Saccharomyces cerevisiae S288C: one gene and its partners. The gene in region 3 interacts genetically with the main gene of each other region. Each region holds a gene or a part of one and is shown on either strand. Other genes may lie near its edges. The genes, in order: GDH3, AFT2, YEF1 and AZR1.

Evidence for each region.
Region 1: mutations in YEF1 (region 3) and GDH3 together harm fitness more than expected from each alone (negative genetic interaction), as found in Saccharomyces cerevisiae (one large-scale study listed by BioGRID).
Region 2: mutations in YEF1 (region 3) and AFT2 together harm fitness more than expected from each alone (negative genetic interaction), as found in Saccharomyces cerevisiae (one large-scale study listed by BioGRID).
Region 4: mutations in YEF1 (region 3) and AZR1 together harm fitness more than expected from each alone (negative genetic interaction), as found in Saccharomyces cerevisiae (one large-scale study listed by BioGRID).

What each region holds. Positions count from the first base shown.
Region 1 is NC_001133.9:27,280-33,440, reverse strand, and holds GDH3 (glutamate dehydrogenase (NADP(+)) GDH3), read right to left. Parts: upstream 1,875-6,161; coding exon 501-1,874; downstream 1-500. Other genes in the region: flocculin FLO9, read left to right, coding at 5,473-6,161.
Region 2 is NC_001148.4:167,588-171,394, forward strand, and holds AFT2 (Aft2p), read right to left. Parts: upstream 1,752-3,807; coding exon 501-1,751; downstream 1-500. Other genes in the region: YIG1 (Yig1p), read right to left, coding at 2,183-3,568. UniProt on the Saccharomyces cerevisiae protein: Transcription factor required for iron homeostasis and resistance to oxidative stress. With AFT1, activates the gene expression in response to low-iron conditions, also called iron regulon.
Region 3 is NC_001137.3:72,727-79,044, reverse strand, and holds YEF1 (NADH/NAD(+) kinase), read right to left. Parts: upstream 3,102-6,318; coding exon 1,614-3,101; downstream 1-1,613. Other genes in the region: chitin transglycosylase UTR2, read right to left, coding at 1-992; GDA1 (guanosine diphosphatase), read right to left, coding at 3,718-5,274; GTA1 (Gta1p), read right to left, coding at 5,697-6,318. UniProt on the Saccharomyces cerevisiae protein: ATP-NADH kinase with a low phosphorylation activity of both NADH and NAD(+) to produce NADP and NADPH by using ATP.
Region 4 is NC_001139.9:941,209-945,147, reverse strand, and holds AZR1 (azole transporter), read right to left. Parts: upstream 2,343-3,939; coding exon 501-2,342; downstream 1-500. Other genes in the region: AMA1 (Ama1p), read right to left, coding at 1-3; phosphatidylinositol-3,5-bisphosphate binding protein HSV2, read left to right, coding at 2,933-3,939. UniProt on the Saccharomyces cerevisiae protein: Transporter protein required for adaptation to high stress imposed by low-chain organic acids, in particular by acetic acid, and for resistance to azoles, especially to ketoconazole and fluconazole.

The DNA of each region.
Region 1 (6,161 bases), on a different chromosome or scaffold from region 3:
TATGTTCAATGAATTTATTGTTATTCTTATTGCTGTTGTTATTATTGTTAACTGTCTATTAACTTTCAAATATCTTGACGATGGTCTTTTACCAATGACAAGGTTCAAGAATGAAGAGAACCACAAACACAGTCAGGTCCTTACTACTGCACATTACGACAGCCTTTATATACATTTTATCAAAAGCATTAACTAATGTGTTGCTAATAATCGCATCTGCCGGTCTTGTGCTACAGCCGTGGTGGTTAACCCCCTTGCTTAGTTCTCCTTATCATATCTGAGCTAACCAATGCCACTATCCCCCTTCAAATTGCCTAGGTTAATCATCTAATTACCGACATGTAATCTCCTCACCCCGCACGGCCACTACTAAGAAACTTCCGCGGAAGGGATTTCAGTTTCTTCCGTAATGCTGAACCCTATTTGCATAGTAAATTAAAAGTAGATTACACTACTACATACACAGATAGTTACGAACAAAAAGAAAATAGCGCTTACGGCTAAAAAACGTCTCCCTGGTCAAGCATTGCGTCAGCCACCATGACGAAGCTGGCAATGTTGGCCCCCTTGACCAATGATGGCAAGGTGTTTGTATTTTTTTCCGTAGAGTACTCTTGTGCGGCCTGTATGCAGTCGTTGAAGCAGTTGATCATTATCTTCTTTAGTTCTTGATCGACCCGCTCGGCAGTCCAAGTTACTTTTTGAGAATTCTGAGCCATTTCCAGACCGGATACTGCCACGCCGCCCAGGTTAGCTGCCTTTGGTGGCCCAAACCAAACTGCATCCTTTGCATTGGTTGCAGTGCTACGCGCTGTTTCGAAAACAGAAATAGCCTCGGGTGTAGAACCCATGTTAGCACCTTCGGCAACGAACTTAACGCCAGATGCCACTAGGGCCTTGGCTTCGTCACCACTGACCTCGTTTTGGGTGGCACAGGGCAAGGCAATGTCGACGTTGCTCACATGCGTCCATGGGCGTGCTCCTGCAACGTACTTCATCTTACTTTCGCTGAAAGTAGAGTATTCATCAACGATTTCCTCTAACGACTTGAAACGGATCTTGGCGGAAGCGATATCGTGAATTTGCTCAGAAGTAATGCCCGTCTCAGAGATGATGCACCCCTTCGAATCGGATAAAGACACCACAATACCACCCAGCTCGATCACTTTCAAAGCTGCATATTGCGCAACATTGCCACTTCCGGAGATTGTCACACGTTTGCCCTCAAACGACTCCTTGCCGTTTGTTGCATAATCGATCATTGCTTGCGTATAGTAAACTAAGCCGAACCCGGTGGCCTCCGGCCTGATAAGTGAGCCACCCCAGTTTAAACCCTTACCAGTCAACACACCTTCCCAGGAGTTCTTGTATGATCTGTAAGCGCCGAATAGGTAGCCAATTTCACGGCCACCGACACCAATATCTCCTGCGGGCACGTCTGTGTCCTTACCAATATGCCTGCTCAGTTCTCTCATGAACGCATAACAAATCCTTCTGATCTCGTTGTCAGACTTGCCTTTCAAGTCCACACACAGGCCACCCTTACCACCGCCCATATCTAGCCCAGTGAGCGCATTCTTGAAGATCTGTTCAAAACCCAAAAATTTTAGGATAGACAGGTTCACTGATGGGTGGAAGCGTAGGCCACCCTTGTAAGGGCCCTTGGCTGAATTGAACTGCACCCTGTATCCTTGAGCCACTTCTTGCTCGCCATTATCATTTTCCCACGTGACCCTGAATTGAATGATCCTCTCCGGGACAGAAACAATAGGTAACACTTTTTTATACTGTGGGAATTTTTCAAAAATTTTGGAATCCTCCACAGAAGAAACGATCTCATCGTAAGCCTGCTGAAACTCTGGTTCGCTTGTCATTTTTTACTTTTTACCTTTTCTTTTCGGTGACTGTTGCTACTTCCCTATATATATATATATATGTGTGTGTGTGTGTGTGTGTGGCCTATGTATGTACCTTTATATAACTGAGTTCGAACGGCTCAAAGTCAGAAGTCATTAACTGTTTATGTGAAAGTGAAATAAAAAGAAATACTCTTTTTAAGAAAGGCATCATGGTCATCACTTTTTCCATATTAACCAACGATAAAACTGTCCCTTTAATATCAATACTGCTTATCGATAAGATAAGTAATATACCCTTTAAAATCTCATTGGCTCCCTCTCCGCATTTTTTCCTTTCTTCAAAGAGCTGGGCCAATCAAGCAAACTGAACGGGAAGAAAAAGAAAAGTTGGTATAATATTTTTAGTTTTTAAGTGCAGAATATCTGTCAGCAGCCATATATATATATATATATATATATGTATATGCCTCCTATGCCTTCTTTTTAATGGGCGTTAATTACTTTGGCAAGTGCTCCGTTTTATCATACTTTACTTTTTCTTTTTTTGAAAGTTCTCAGAGACCCAACAAAACTTAAAAATAAAACAAAAAAAACAAGCTGCCACAAGTATGTTTATAGAAGAAAACTTTGAAAGCGTTTTATTTTGCAAGAATAATAGCTTCTACACTTTGAATTCTGAAACAATCCGGTGCTTGTTAGTTGTAATTTTTCTATTTAAAGTTGAAGTTCAGCTACATATAACAAATTATGCCTCACTTGATATTACCAGCTCACTTAAATTTCATCTTAACATTAAAATATTTACAGCCTAGCTTAAACTCACTCTGAAGACCTTCTGCACAATGTACAGGTACATCGTAAATAAAAAATTTGTTATGAATCTTGTGCGTCATTGAAATACATTGCCTATGAATTGGTCAATGGATTACGCAACATCAGCTTTTTAATTTAACAGTAAGTGTTTAGTAGTAACAATGATCGCCATTTTGAACGATAAATGCCTTGACGGTTTTTACAACATTGCGATTAACATTTTTACGACTTTTACAGGATTCTGCGTTCATGCATTTGGATGAATATCTCTTCCTCGCTGTTCAGCAAGAGAACAAACGACGTATTACTGGTCATTCGATCACAACATTTATGCGCCTTTCCTTCGCCAAGAAGTCAAGAAGTATTCCATGAACCGTAGTCTAAGAGATTTTTATTAGAAGATCATATAACCGCACGTCCATAGCCTGAGGGGGGGTTCTGTGGAAAGCTAAAGATATCGCACTTATTGAAAAATATAGGCGATACATAAATTTCTCAAAGTAAGTAAACAATAGTTTAAACCCAAATTTACACCGACAGTGCCGCTGCTAGCTTAAACAGGAATTGACCATTTATTGTAATTCCATATGCCAAGTAGGCTTTTCATTTTTGCATCTTCAATACATTAAAGTTAACGTATACTCGACAAGTGGTGCATTGAAAAAAAAAAATCGAATTTTCTATGTGGAAAATACACCCAAAAATGTTCTTCAGAATGTATACTTCGCTAAACCAATTAATGTGCCTATGCAAAAACTTTGAACAAATCAAGAAATTTTTTTGGACATGGATTGACCAGAGATTGACGTAACTCATGCCCTGTCAATGATTTTAGCTTGTGCGACGAAACGTACTTCTCTGAGAAAATCCAGACGAAAAAAAATGACACCAAAATCCCGTCATTATTTACGTTCGAAAAGAAAAAAGTAGGCAATATTTCCCTTTTCGTTTCTTGCCTCTTCTTATGTCATAAGAAACTTACGTGATAAACCAATCGAAAAAGGAAACAAGAAAAAGACAAAAAGGGAAAGCTCTGATGCACCATTAATCTGGTGAAAAAGTAGTGCGAAGGCAACTATTCCATGAACTGATTTTCATTGTAGAAACAATCATTATTGTTTTCTCAAAATTTCTATAATTTTATTGATTAAATATCAGCACCTCCATAACCACCTTGATATGCTCTGATAGACAATCAATGCATAGCTAGTAAACCGAAAATAAACTACAAAAACGTGGATGAAAAATATACGGTTTACTATTCCTTAACTTAATATCAGTAACAGACCGGCTGGAACAAATTTTTCACGAGTAAAAATTTGGTCAAGCAGTTATAGTGTAGTGTCTTCAAAGTATTTTTACCGTATTGTAACTTTTCAATTTTCCAGCCACACGTGAAGTAAGCTGCAAACTAACAAGTGTTTGCAGCGCTCTAGGGAGTTTTCTCTATGACGTAACTTGGCTGCCTTTTCTTCAAAAAAAAAAGGATCTAATCTCTGAAAAACGGAGTTGCCTTCCAAGTGCAGCAAGCTTGGCAGGTATGATTTCAAAAACCATGAGAAAAAAAGCGTATATAGTTACCTTGCTGAAATGCCGGTATATTTTGATTGCACCCAGCTGGGACATGTGAATAAGTCTCAAAAGTGGAACGAATTACCTCAAAGCCATTATTTTTTGAAAATGCATCAATCATATTTTTGTGTGACAGACTTACTGCACACTGGTTTTAAAGGACGTATAAGAATTAAGTATAACTAACCAATAAATACTTTTAAGGTTTAAAATATTCACAACACATCCCGTCAGTGTCCGCAACAAAAAGTGGCTGTGAAATTAGGTATCTCTTGTTTACTTTCGAGATCAGAGGTCACATAGGGCACTCAAAAGGGTAGTCAGCTCACTTTAGTATTTAAGATACACCGACGCCATGTAAGAGGCAGGAACCGAAAAAAATATACAGCACCTGCCTGCTCCTTTTTCAGGGAATACCGTGCGATGTCAAATTTTTTGCTGCTTTGTAAGCTAACCTTAATTTTAGTCGGCTGACAAAATTCACTTTCCTATGGCTATTTCTGTGTTTTTTTTGTATCGCGCTTACTAGGTGAAAACTTTATTTGACATTAAAGTTACATGCGTTTTTCTTCTTCCGGCCCAAAAAATGCAACTATAGTGTTCTAGAATTTTTTAGTCGTGCACCAAAATTATGCATTGAGAAAGCACTAAAAAGGACGGAGTAGTGATTTTTTCAATGTCTCTATCAATTTTCGGATCTGTCGCTAAAACTAGTTTAAGTTTCTGGCGACCCTCCTGGAATGCTTACCTTGAGCGATGGGTACTTTCCTTCATAGGTTATTCAACATTGCACGATATACAGAAAATATATTCTCTGTAAGGATATCGTACCACATTTCAGAGCGCATTAATGCATGTAAAGGAAAGGTACATCACACACGACCACAGATTTTTTAAAAACTTTTCTTTTTCTTCTTTGTTCCTGACAATTCAGATGGCATAAAGAAAACGTTCGCAGTCAGATCAATTAGAAAGCATAACTCAAAATCTATCGGGTGGTATAACACAGAAATTTAAGCAGCTAAAAAATTTTTTCTCTTTTAAAGGTATTCGATTTCCTCCTTTGCTAACACATTATCCTGCCAAATTATTCTACCTTCTTATATATTACATAAAATTCGATGACACTAAAAGTCCATTAATAACATAACGTTCTTCCTTCTTATTTACAGGTACGCTCTTTAAATTGCAATTTAAAAAGAACAATTGTACAATAAAAGCCCCAAAAATGTCTCTGGCACATTATTGTTTACTACTAGCCATCGTCACATTGCTGGGATTAACTAATGTTGTCTCTGCGACTACAGCGGCATGCCTGCCAGCAAACTCAAGGAAGAATGGTATGAATGTAAACTTTTACCAGTATTCATTGAGAGATTCCTCCACATATTCGAATGCAGCATATATGGCTTATGGATATGCCTCAAAAACTAAACTGGGTTCTGTCGGAGGACAAACTGATATCTCGATTGATTATAATATTCCTTGTGTTAGTTCATCAGGCACATTTCCTTGTCCTCAAGAAGATTTATATGGTAATTGGGGATGCAAAGGAATTGGTGCTTGTTCTAATAATCCAATAATTGCATACTGGAGTACTGATTTATTTGGTTTCTATACTACCCCAACAAACGTAACCCTAGAAATGACAGGTTATTTTTTACCACCACAGACGGGTTCTTACACATTCAAGTTTGCTACAGTTGACGACTCTGCAATTCTATCAGTCGGTGGTAGCATTGCGTTCGAATGTTGTGCACAAGAACAACCTCCCATCACGTCGACTAACTTCACCATCAATGGTATCAAGCCATGGAATGGAAGTCCCCCTGATAATATTACAGGGACTGTCTACATGTATGCTGGTTTCTATTATCCAATGAAGATTGTTTACTCAAATGCCGTTGCCTGGGGTAC
Region 2 (3,807 bases), on a different chromosome or scaffold from region 3:
TGCCCTAAATATCTTCTATACTACAATTCATTTTAATTCAATATCATATTTAAGTTGAGGGCATTTAGATCTTAGAGATTCATCTAAAAATAGGAGGGGTGATGTATAGAAAATGTTCGAATATCATTCCTCTGCTTTTTTCTATATGATTATTTCCTATATGAGCTTTTACTTACTGATCTCATGATCTCAGTGCAAAAATTAGGGGACCGGCACGCCTGAAAGTTTTTTAGATAATTGAATGTTGCGGTGCATTACCTATGAAAAGATGAAGCGCACGTGAACCATATTATAATCAACAAACTTGAAGAATAAAACTTTTGAGCGCATGAAGCCATGATATATCTTATTTGTATCGACATGCTTTAAGTCCTCCGTAGCTTTAAAAAGTCTAAGGTCCAAAATCCCTCGATGGTGCTGATATCACCATTATTCATGTCCATCAGATCTTGTCACATATTTAAACGTGATACCGTTTTAATGAGTTGAAAACTAAATAATTAATATTTTGATATTAAGGCTGGGTCAATAGAATTTAATTCATTAAAATGCTCATCGTTGAAATGAAGCAACGCTTCGTAGTTGTAGTTTAACATGCCAAAATTTTCGTTTCTCTCTTTGCCTAAGTTCGTAGCAATATCTGTATCAGCAGTTGGTGCGTTGCTTTTGGTATCTTTGGAAACTTTAATGATCTCATCTCCATAAGGAGCGTCTGTTTCCATAAAATTTGGTGAAGATGTTGTTGATTCTGACAGGGCTATATCCATTTTGCTTTGTGACAAGGGCCTCGTTGGTGTTGAAGGAAGTATACAAGAAGAGGACGAAGGACCTGGTGTAGGTTCTGTCAAAAGTTCCATCAGGCCTTGGTTGTAATTTTGGATGAAATTGTCGTTGCAAAACATGTTCGTAAAATCAATTTCGTTTAAGTTCGTTAAAGAATCTTCTTTCTCTATCTTTACACAGGAATTCCGCGTTTTGAAATTGTCTAAAAATCCGGTATCATGTAGATCCGCATCCAACTTCGTTTTCAACCTTGGCCTAGGTTTCGAATTATCCATCTGTCTGGATTTTATTTTAGAAACGGAGTTTTTATTTGTTTTGAGCAAATTTTTTTTAGACGTCAAAGGGGGGTTTGATAGTGGGAGAAAAATGTTATTGAAAGCTTCAATTTCCTTGGTTAACCCACAGTCACAAGAAATAATTGGTGTGACGAGTGGTAAGTTTAGACTTGCTTTATATTCTAATTCATCAAATGTTTTGATGGCTTTTTCGTCGTTCTTCTGACGAAGATTTTCCTTAAACTTTTTATAGTCATCCGTTTTAGTAATCAAATCAAATCTCAGCTCATGTGAATGTATGTTATTCATAACAACCACGTTCCACTTCTGTAACCGCACAGAGTAGGCTGCTCTAATTCTAAATGGACATGCATGGGATCTTGAAGAGGAACCTTTGGATTTAGGGTTCAACCCTACTTTCGATCGTACTGACCTACACTTAAAAGTAACTTTGCTACTATCTGATCTTTCGATGACTATATCTATTCCTTGAGGATAGAATATTTTCTGTAGCCACGGTTTAATCTCGTGCCTGTCCTCAAAAGACGGAACTGGGTCTAAATGAATAAGTTTATTTTGGTCTTTAGACATCATAGATGCTAGATTATCGGGAGATGCTGTTAACTTCATTTTCCCTGTTTTAGACACTGATATTGGCACAGATATTATGCTCTTCATCGACTTTGCTTTCATTTCTTGGGGGTCGCTTTCTCTTGATTAATTTGCGCCAGAGTTTCTGGTCACTACAACAAATTTTTTGAATGAGTCGTGTTCACTATTATGTATAGGTCCATCAGTTTAATTTGCACAGTTTTTGCCTTAATCAAAAGAAAATCAATTCTGACTAAAAGAAAGCCACTTTACCGATCTCGGCCCACGAAACGATTTTTTTTTTTACGGTGCTTTTTTCTTTCTTTTTTTTGTTCTTTCTATTTTTTCCCTTTGCTTTTCGCACAATACCGCTTACCGTCAATCGAATAATGAATGGCTCTGGTATCGTTCAATAAAATGAGAAACGTGCTTCCAGTTCAAAACCAAACAGCTCAGACAGGTTAAAGTGAAGAAGTTGAGATATATACAAATTAATGTCACTGTTATTTTTTTTATTTACATTTCCTTAACCTTTATTTAAGAAGAATTGTTTGAATGTTATTGTCATCAGTAAGAATTGTCAGCACTGGGCTATTTACAGAGGGACAGTTACCAACAAAGAGATCTTTGACACTCCTTATACCGTATTTGGCCCTAATGTCTGAGTAGCCCACGAACAGCCACCGTTTGAAAGATATAGAGTACTTGTATACCGATAACGCTGTTCCGTAGAGATGTTGCTCGGTTATAAAAATATACTTCCCATTGTTTGCTATCTGACGTCCTGTTCCTGAAGCATGGACATGAAGTTCTTGTGTCTTGTAAAATATTGGATAAACCTCGCTGTCTGAGACGGGTGGAGAAGAATTTGAATTCTCTATGGGGTCTCTTGTTGGAATGGACAGATATCTCATGTTGGTTTCGAGTAAAATGTGATTCGTTTTAAGAAGATAGTCGATCTTTTGAACGTCTTCGTCTATTTTAAGCATAAAGTTTATTTCCTTGTTTAGCGTGGAAGCATCCGATCCTAATAGATTCTTGCAGTGGAAAATCATATCATTTCCTTTGTATAAAGTAAACTGAGGGAAATTTAAAACGGACTTGACATTTGTGGTCGTGCGTAGATCTACAGGCAAATCAATGTTGGTATGGAAACTTTGAAAACTTCCATTGCTTTGTTGGTGATCTAAAGAAGTTATTAGCAGCCCATCTTTCAAACTAAAAGAAACAACGAAATGTGGCAACAAACCTGCCCAGACATTTAATATAGATAGGTGGCTTTGATGAGAGGAAGTTGAAGGATCCTTCAAAAGCAAGTGATTGTTTACGTTTCCGTTCAAGTCGCAGTTTAGCTTTAACAACTTTCCATTCTGAAATCCAACTAAAATTTGAATGGTGTTTGAATTATAACCAAAATTGCAGTCCATACATATTATTGCGTCCGATAGCAGTAAATTCAACTGCCCGTAAAATTGCTGCTTAATAAAAATCAAATGTTGGCCGTTAAAGTCATACAGCAGTAATTTTTTGTCCTCTGCTTGATTAGAATAAAAAATCCAGTACTTGCTATTGAAATTTCTAAAACTTTTGAAACTTTGTAAATCGTGGGTAGTAAAATAGTTATTAATCCGTACAAATTCCAACCCACGGTTACTTCGAAAAACATCTTCAAGTTCCTTTTCTTCGTCACCATCATCGTCTTCTTCAGAATAGTTTCCAACATCTCCACCATCCTCTCCGACATTGCTAAAGGTAAGCTGGTCGATATGTTCCTTTATCGTATCTGGAAGCTGTGGGTAATCATTATTCACCGTGTAGTTGCCATACTTGCTCGCCCGTTCGTCAAATACGTTCTGATATCTCGTGTGGTAAAATTGCACCCCCTTCCCATCCTGGTATATTTGCATAGGTATACCCATGATTTCGTTATGATTATTTTCTTTCTTGAGGGTGTTTAGCAATACATTATTATCCTTGTGATTTCGCTTATACACATGTAGGATTTCCTCCTTATATATTACAAGTGTGTCACCATTTCCGGCCCACCAATAGCCGCCGACCTCCAAATTACCCCAAATAAAAAAAAAGAAAACTCCGGAAATGCGGGGTTGAGCTGCAATATAATAATAATATGGCAACTTTAGCCGCGCAATCGAAG
Region 3 (6,318 bases):
GTAATAGCAATGTCTTTGGCCAAAAATTCACTGGACGAAGTATACACATAAGCAGAAGTACCATTCTTCTTGGTATCGCTTGGTGGATCATAACATGTGATATTAACTTCATTGACAATAGCATAATAATATCCTGGGTTGCTGATATCGGATGCGTCCCAATTAATTTCACCACCAGACCATGCAATGGTTCCTGGAGCGTTGGTAGAATTACCACCTGGCCAAATGGAAATATCCACCTTGGATGGGGTTTGTGGGTATTGATATTTTTGGGTGGTGGCGTTATAAGTTTCGTTCTTGTACAAGGTTCTACCGACGACACCATCGATGGACCATGTTACATAATCTTCGTGCCAATCTAATTCGTAAGTATGGTAGTTTTCAAATGTATCAGTAGTGGAAATATTGGCAGAATTCGTGTAGTTCAAAACACTTTCCCAATAGAAATTGGTTTGAGCAGTTTCTAGATCAGCACCGACGAATTCGTAATCAAGTTCATCACCTGCGCCGGAATACAGAATGAACCCAGTGACCACACCAGCAAGATGTGACGTCTTTATTCTAGCACTGACCTTACCATACCAAACAGCCCTCGTGGAGGAAAGAACGGTACCACCACTGTTCTTGGGCATCGCCAAAATTAAACTTTCTTCATCATCATAATCCAAAACGTCACCAGTATACAACCAATCAGCCTCACTAACATTTCCTAAGAAAGTGTTAGCATTCCCCAACTTAGAGGAATAATCTTTGAATTTAGTGGATGAACTCTTGCAGATAGGTACAGGCATACATGAATCATGACTAAACGAATATCTTACATCACAGTTGTTCAGACAATATTGACCAGTACCACATTCACCATATTGTGAGCAACATGGTTTATCTTCGGGACATGCTTGAGTTGCATTGCAAAATGTAGCGGCCTCTACACGTACCACGAAGGAAAAAATACTGACTAAACAAATTAGCCAACTATTAACGATTGCCATTATTAATTATATAATTAGCTTATTTGCAGGACAATAAATAGAAGTTTTACAAAGGGAACAGGGTCCAACAGAAACCATAATCACCAGGAATGTTGTTCTTTTTATACCTCAGGCATGTTTTAAAAGCCTCTTCTGCAGTTTTAATTTGGAAACTATCCACCTTGAAGATTCCCACTAAATCTTCGAAGGACGACGATTTTCTTCGAGGTTGAAAAAAGTTTTTCAAGAATTTTCGCGCTTCTTCCTAATCGGGAATTTATCTGTCATAATTATAATTCCCTATTTGGGAATTGGAACGAAATATATGCTACTATTTTAAAAATTATTCTGCACCATTCCGGAAATAACCTTCCGGTGACTGCAAGTTAGGCAACCTTATCATATGGTTAACTAGCATAATTACAAACGCGCATGAGGAAATTTAGCGAAACTACCTGCCAAATGCGGCGCTCTGGTTCAACTGTTTCATTTCTCCATTTTGTATAGCTCTACTGGATCTTCTTCGACACTGCAAACGACGCAAGAGCATTCTTGAAGTAAAAGAGGTAAATACAAAGCTGTTTACAGGCTCATCATCCATTATGAACCCTTGACTACGGAAACGCAGGATGTGGGAAATCGTTAGATTGCAAAATGAGCCTGACGAGTCCGTTCAACAACTATTTCTGTTTCTGTTTCCGTTACGGATTTCCTCTCCTCATCTTGTGCATCTGAGCTTATGCATGAACTCTCGAGGGGATTACTTATGGTGTCGTTTCCATTTTTCGATGAGTCTAATCTATATTTTTCTTGATTTTTTGGCGAGAGAATATGTGCAAATGGCTTCTGCTCTTCGCGGTCATTCCAATTAAGATTTTTACTGATACTTTCAAAAAATTCACTGGCAGATGACTCGATAGTCGGTACCGAATAGGGGCTTGCAGTTATCACAACATAGTCACCCTGTTTCAATTCAACTCTATCTTTTCCGTCAAAATTCACCCACGACGTCCCTCTTGAGTTCATATCTACTCTAACTTTTAATTCCATGCTATCTGGTAAAATTATAGGCCTAAAGCTCAAAGTATGAGGACATATAGGCGTCACCGCTATGGCATTTACGCTTGGCGATATTAAAGAGCCTCCTGCACTCAATGAGTATGCCGTGGATCCCGTAGGCGTGGCAACAATCAATCCATCTCCCTGAACCTTAGTCATTAGTGAGTCGTTTCCATAGAGTTCTAATAGGGATAAACAAGGAGCTGGACCTCTATCTATGGTTACTTCGTTCAATACGTGATGTTCGGAGATGAAATCGATGTAACATATTTTTCTCCCAGTTGCGGCATCAATTTCTGGTTTATTTCTACGGTAGAGTTTGCATTGCAACCTCATTCGTAAATTAATACGAACCTCATCTGTTAAGATATGTTTCAACGTTTCTTTGAAATTTTGAAATTCAAAATTTGTTAGAAATCCTAATGATCCAAGGGCAAATGGAACAATCGGCGGAACATCTTTCGTGAATATAGATGAAGCAAAAAGGACAGTTCCATCACCCCCTAGTGTAATCATCAAGTCAAAGAATGAATCGTGTTTTTTAACAAATTCTTTTGACCAATACTTTACTCTGTTTTTACTGCAATTGCTGTCTTTGCAGAGGTCACCAACAGCAAACTGAGTTGACTTTTTAAAAATATCTTGTACATATACAGTTATTGAATGGAAATTGCGTAAGATCCATTCCACCACTTCTCTCATGAGAAATACAGTGGAAATATCATTAATATTGCAGATTATTATCAGGTTTTCAACCTGCAAGTCAACCTTAGCATTTATAAGATCCTTTCTCAAACGCCTTACATCGTATGCAGTATCAACATAAAATGGGTATAAATTACTCGTGTCCTCACCGACAATTGTTTCGCTCGATAATCTTCTGACCCAGTTTTTTGCATCATGATAACCGCACCTCATTAAGCCCGGTTCTTCGAAGTTGCTTAATACCTTGCCTTCCGCTAAAACTTTAACTGATGTCATTCTGTCAATAGTATCCATAGTATCCATCTCAGCATCTCCCTTGGTACATGTCTCCGGGGAAGCGTTAATCAGTAATCTATCAGTTTTCATATTCTCTTTTAGTAAAAAATGTCACGTAAGCAGATTTATTGAGATTGCACTATTTCCATTTCCCTTTCACAACGCTATAGAAGTGAGATGAATACACTAACCTGATTGTAGGTTTATTTATATATATAATATCAATAGCTAGCAGTTTATTAAACGACCTGAAATGCAGTTTCTTCGATCACCAGATAAGTCCGATTATCCTTTTGTTTTCGATTTTCTTGAGGACCGGTGTGATATCCACAATCACCCTAAAACTAAAACAAAGCCATATAGTCTTAAAACAACGGAACAATCCATAACAAAAGTATATTAAATTATCTCATATGTTCAAGATTATGAGGTCCTAACAGATAACTCTTCCAGTTCATACTCAAACACCTGAAGGCGTGGCGGGCTTTTACCAAAAATGGATAAACCTCGGAAGGCCTTTTCAATCCCCTGTCTTGGCGGCGGTGTTATAATAAACTATTGTGGGGATAATAGTGATTTTCATAACGTAAAAATCGTTTACATATTGTTCAAGGGTTATAGAATAGGACATATAACAGAATACATATCACCGCAATCTCCTCTTCCTTAATATACATGGGACGAAAAGCGGTGTCCATGTTCTTATTCAAGCTGATTGAATTTTACATTTCCAGTTATCAGCTTTCAACAATGGTAATGACGCACCTAAACACCAACCGATTTCTTTATTGGCAATTTTCTTTCCAGTTCTCAATTCTCTTTGTAATGGAATGTCATATCCCGTATGTAATAAGGACACTTGAAAAGATAAGTCCAAACAGAAGTGCGAGTCACTTTCCAATTCATCTAGGGACCCCGCAATGCCACTGAAGACACTATTCCAAGTTTCTTCGCCTTTACACACTATTCTTGCCAAATCGTTCAATTCATTCAAAGTAAAGGACAAGGGCATACCCAATGGACGGGTTCTGTCGTAGAAATAAGAGAAAATATAGATATCGTTCGATTCTTTGAATGTACGAACTAAAGAAGGTTGGTGAACCCCATTGAAAGAGCATGGTGGAGACTGGCACTGAGCATCTTTATTCAAAATTTCATCAGTCAGAAATCTACATTGTGCACCACTTGGCTCGTCCGGCCCTATAAAGTCAATGGTATAAGTTTCCTTGGATTCTAATGTAACCTTTTCATTTGTGGCATTAACTTTAGGCGGTAGGCATGGAGATGACAATTGATGAGTCTTAGTGTTATCACCCTTCAATATTTTGCCGTCTTTTAATGCATTTTCCACAAGAACAGAGTTAACTTTATTTCTTCCTTCCTTCAAACCGTAACCTAGATGAGAAAATTGGTACAAGGTGTAATTTTCATCACCAAACTTCAAATCAAATTTATGCTCACCATCGACCATTTTTTCATTTATTGGGAAAGTAGGCTCAAAAACAATTTGTGTAGACCCTCCGCCTAAGTCAAAAACGGCAGCAGTAGGTAACTTGGGGCCATTAGCACCGATATTACCTAATAGGTAGTTTGTAGTAATCCAGGCGAAGACACCTTCTTCATCACCGCCCATGATGGAAACACCATCACCTTCGACAACTGGGAAAGGATAGTCCTTCTCCAAATGATCCCTTACAGCGCTCAAAATTTTTGAAGATTTGGCATCACCCAAGAGTCTTAGGCCTGCAGTAGCTTTCACCGCAACGGGAGTACAACTTCTTGCCTTAATAGGGACATAGTTCATTGCTACTTTCAGTAATGGGTCAAGGGAGTTAGCGGCACCAACGGAATCGGTATCGAAAGAAGATAAACCAGGCTCTAACATGTCGAATTTTTCATCAAGTAATGTAGGTGGGGAAGTACAGACGTCAAACTTGTATATATGTACTCGGGAACCGGTAGAGCCGGCATCGATCATGATAACATACTTATGTTCTTCGCTGCATGTTTGACTTGTTTGTGACTTCACAGCATCGGCAAGCTCAGGATAGTTTTGTTCAGTCTTCGAATCTTGAAGGTAACCTGGTTCATCATTGACGGGCAAGATAGAGATGTCCTCCGGAGTTTTGGGAATACTAGCATTAGGAGTAACTGTACGTGCAATAGAAGGTGGACCGATGGAAGATGTTTTAATCAACAAAATGAGCATAATAACGGCAAAAGCACCGATAGCGAACCGGTAATTTCTAAAGATGGGCGCCATGTTTTTTGTGCGATGATGTCTTAATGTTTCTTCTCGAGAGGACCCTTAACTGTTCGCCAATAAAGATTGTTGATTGCAGTCCTTGCCCTTTTTATTAGTGCTTTCTCCTTAAAACCAAAATTAAATAAGCTTGTAAAAGAAACTGTTTTTATATTTGGAAAATCGAAGCACTATGCAAGGAATATTATTAATGTTGACAGTTATTTTTCATGTGTTATGTTTTTCATATTGAAGTTGTAAAAAGATGGGAAAAATGAAATTGAGACGAGACGCCAAAATAAAAAGAAAAAAAAAAAGAAAAAATGAGATTAATACCGTTACCCTATTGATGATTAAGAATAAGCTCAAACTGCTTTCATATATTATGTTTCATAATTTATATATCTACATATATACACGACCTGGAAGTATTATAATATTGTTCATGAGTCGTGACTGTGCGGGTTAAATAGATTATTCATACCGCTCTTGGACAACAGTTTTGACATTCTTCTACCGCTTGGACTAGTTGATGGAGTTGATGAATCTTGAATATCCGTGTCCGCATTAGCAGGTGATGATGCAGACTTGTGCTTAAACTTGGACCATGCAGAAGAAATGCTGCTGTTACTTTGGTTCCTCTTGTGAGAAGGCTTAGGGCTTGGTTCTTTAGCGGGAACCTTTGGACCCACAGGCACATCGAGGTGATACTGCTCCTCCAATGGAGGAGAAAGTTGATTTGTATTTGAATTCCATATGGAGTTGAAAGGTGGTGAAGAGGCATGGAAAGATCTTCGTGTAATGTTATCCGCCGTTGGTTGATGGTTCATTGTTAATATGTTCGAGTGTGAAGGTGTTAAAGTAGTGTTATTGCCTGGAACAATGGGCACATCGTTTGAGAGTCGTGGGCTCAAGTTTGGCACCAATAAATTGAAGTCACTTGATATCCTTGGACTAATGTTCTCGGTTTCATTGCCATTGATATTGTTCTGTAAGGAGTTTGCAGGTTGCGGAGCACTGTAGAAAGAACCACTGCGTACAAAACTTTGTAATGAAGGATCATTC
Region 4 (3,939 bases), on a different chromosome or scaffold from region 3:
CATATTTTTTTCTTTTTTTCTGATCCAAAGTTTTGTAAAACTTTAAAAGAGTTATATAAGCAAGTATTATTATCGTTGGAGGAAGAAAATTTGACCTTCCTTCAACTTTTGATTTTTTATTTTTTTGTTTCCAAGGATTAAAGTGTTCTTTGAGTACTAATCGTTCATCATTTTATTTTATTTTTGGCGCCTTAAAAATGGAACAAGGCAGACGCCGAAAAATACAAAAACAAAAGTCGAAATAAAAAGGGAAACTTCTATTGAAGGTGACATAGAGGCATTGACGCTCTTGCTATATGAACGTCGTTTATCATACCAGTATAAAAATCTAAATTAACTATTTAATAGCTGTACTCATACTGTCTCGGATTACCCTCTTACTGTTATCGTTAGTTGTGGTACACAATTCAGCAAGCTAAACAGCCAATTACTAAAAGTCATGTTTATTTTTTCTGCAGCTTTACACTTTGAGGCTCGCCACCTTCTAAATCGTGCTTAACTTATCTCAGGCTTGCTGTGACTTTCTTATTTGAAGCAAAAACAGCAAAAATGAGAGATAATGCATAAAATCCTAATGCCATGTAAAAGACGTCAGTGAGAGATTCAGAAATTATATTGCCCAATTTGGAATGAGAGCCATCGAAATTGGTCTGCCTATAGATTACCAGATTGTCTACCGTGGTACCATCTGGGAGCTGAATATTAGCCTTGGTTAATTTCTTGATAGCAGCAGCACTGAAAACAGTGTTAGAGATGACACCTCCCAGTGCTTGACCTAGATTTTTGCAAAATGTGTTAAAAGTGGTAATAGAGACAAAATCTGATCGAAAAGTTGGGCTCTTCTTGTCTAACTGAATTTGAGAAGCGAGCATGGAACTTTGTGCCAAACCACCGAAAGCAACGCCAGGTAATATCAAAAGGCCGATGTGAGCAGAGTTATTGGCATTATTGTTCAATAGGGTTAATATACCCGCACCAACAACACCAAAAATGCTTGAAATAACAATAATCGGTTTGATTTGGCGGGTTTTGTCGGTGATAGCACCGCAAAGTATTGCTGTAACGACTGTAGAAATAATGCAAGCAACCAGGTGTACAGCGGCTCTCCAGGCGGAATCATTGTAAATTAATTGGAAGTATTGCACAATATACGTAAACTGACTGATATATCCTGCACAAGTGAGAAACAAGGCTATATTAACCGTGAAAATACCTGGTTTCTTGATATTTGTCCATGACATTAATGGTTGGTAATGTGGTGTTGCTTTCACTATATTAAATTTGGGGAAGACAAGGAAATCATAGATACCTGCTAACACTACCAGGACTATACCGATGATGAAAAGAATAATGATGGATGCAGAGTTCCAAGCATACCGGTTACCGCCAAATGTGAAAGCCAATAGAATACATGTGAATCCAGCTGAACAAAACACAAACTCGATAATATCATACATGAAAATCAATTCCATGAACGGCTTTCTCCACCCATTAAGTTTGCTAAACCCTTTGATTTTCAATAAATGATATGCTACATTCCGAACAATTTCGATAAACTGTGATGGAAATTTGCGGATGTTATCCATTGTCTCTTGAAATGTACTTAAACCTGGGTTATAAAAGAACAGGAATAAGAAAAATGCTAGGCCACCGATCGGTAAATTAACATAGAAGCACCATCTCCATGTGACGCTGGAGGTGAAAACTCCTCCAAGGAAAGGCCCAACAACAGATGCAATAGCAAACGAACAACTCAAAACAGCAATTAGTATGCCTCTCTGCGACTCCTCTACCAGGGTTGAACCAATGACGAACGATAAACTTTGAATACCACAACCGCCGACTCCAGCAATAACTCTACCACCAATGAGCATACTCATTGAATTTGCTAAAGCAGAGATCAGCGACCCGATTTCAAAAATGACAATAGCAAATAGCATGGTCTCCTTGAATCCGATAGGTGTGGCAATTCTTCCCCATATCAACGCCAACAGAGCGTTTGGTAAGCTATACCCGGTAAATAACCACCCGATCTCAGAGTACGATCCAAACTGTTTAGCTACTTCTTCAATGATTGTAGAAACTATCATGATATCCAAGGCTGCCAGAAACAGCGACAAAGCCAATGCTATCAAAGATGCGTACAAGATAAACCCTTTAGGTAGTTCATTACTTTCGCTGGCGTTGTCCTCGAGCACCACGCTCACGTTTTGTTTTGATGTTGACTGCGTAGAATTTCGTCTCACAACATATTGTTTTTGCTGTTTCTCGTTCTGTTGTTGTGCTTTCTCACCGTAGTATGAGAGGTCGCTCATGCTGTAAGTCTTAGGTTCGCCTTTCATTGGGCTGCAATTTAGATACTAATGTAGACGTGGTGTTACTACAATTGTAGAAGAAAAGATACAAGATTTAAAGGACGTTGCAAGAGGGTACGGAAACTCTAGCATTATATATAATCAATTGATACAGTGCCGATTCTTTGATATAAGACATTTTTCTTTAAATTAATGTAGTGGTTCTGCTTGACACTTTTTATTGTATTTCCAGCCATAGCATATAGAAGCGCGGAAATACAGCGGATATCCGCTAGTTGGCGGAAATAATGCAAATTGGTAAGATCCTATGGTAACAGTGCAAGAAAGGGGCCTGAGTTAAAAAGAGAAAATGAGCCTATCCTAATGATGATAGCCAGGTTCATATTAACGTTGTTTACCTTTGTGTTCAAGATCAGGGGCTTTTGGCAGTATCTGAGCGAAATGAAATAAAGAAATTGATAATCACGTGATCACGGCTTTCTGGCTTGTAAAGCCGGTTATATTTATTTACCTTAGTAATACGTACTGCGGGGGCTATTGTTAAAGGGAAGAGAAACCAGAAGATCTGGAAAGGCAGCGATTATTAGAGGACAACTATAAGCATACATAACTAGCAGATGGATGTTCGTCGACCTATAAGGGAGGCAGTCAACAACAGGAGGAAACCAAAATTTTTGAGCGTTTCGTTTAACCAAGATGATTCGTGTTTCAGCGTGGCGTTAGAGAATGGATTTCGTATTTTCAATACAGATCCATTGACTAGTAAGCTATCGAAAACATTTAAAGAGTCTGCGACCAACCAATCCAGGGGCACTGGGATTGGCTATACCAGGATGCTTTATCGTACGAATTACATCGCACTAGTCGGAGGTGGTAAACGACCAAGGCATGCTCTAAATAAACTGATCATCTGGGATGATCTTTTGCAAAAGGAAACGATTACTTTGAAGTTTATGTCTTCCATTAAAGACGTGTTTTTATCTAGGATTCATATTGTGGTAGTCCTGGAGAACACAATAGAGATCTTCCAATTTCAAACCAATCCTCAAAGAATTTGTCCTATTTTGGATATCCCTCCCAATGGATCAGTGGACTATGTCGTTTGTAGCAGCAAACATCTCCAGTCGCAAGCATCGCAGTCACAGTCTAAAATCTTAGAAATCATTGCATTCCCATCGAATAAATGCGTAGGCCAAATTCAAGTAGCCGACCTATCACAAATAAAATATAATTCACAAAACCCGAAGGAATCAGCGCTTTTGCCCACTTCCATCATTAAAGCACATAAAAATCCCATCAAACTGGTTAGACTGAACCGTCAAGGCACCATGGTAGCAACATGTTCCGTCCAGGGTACACTTATAAGAATCTTCAGTACGCATAACGGTACTTTAATCAAAGAATTTAGAAGAGGGGTGGACAAGGCGGATATTTACGAGATGAGTTTCAGCCCCAATGGTAGTAAGTTGGCCGTATTGTCAAATAAGCAAACATTGCATATTTTCCAAATTTTTGAAACAACCAATACAGAAACGAATACACCAGACCACTCTCGTGCCAATGGTTCGAGCCATCCCTTGAAAAATTATATACCGAAGGGCCTATGGAGGCCCAAGTATTTGGA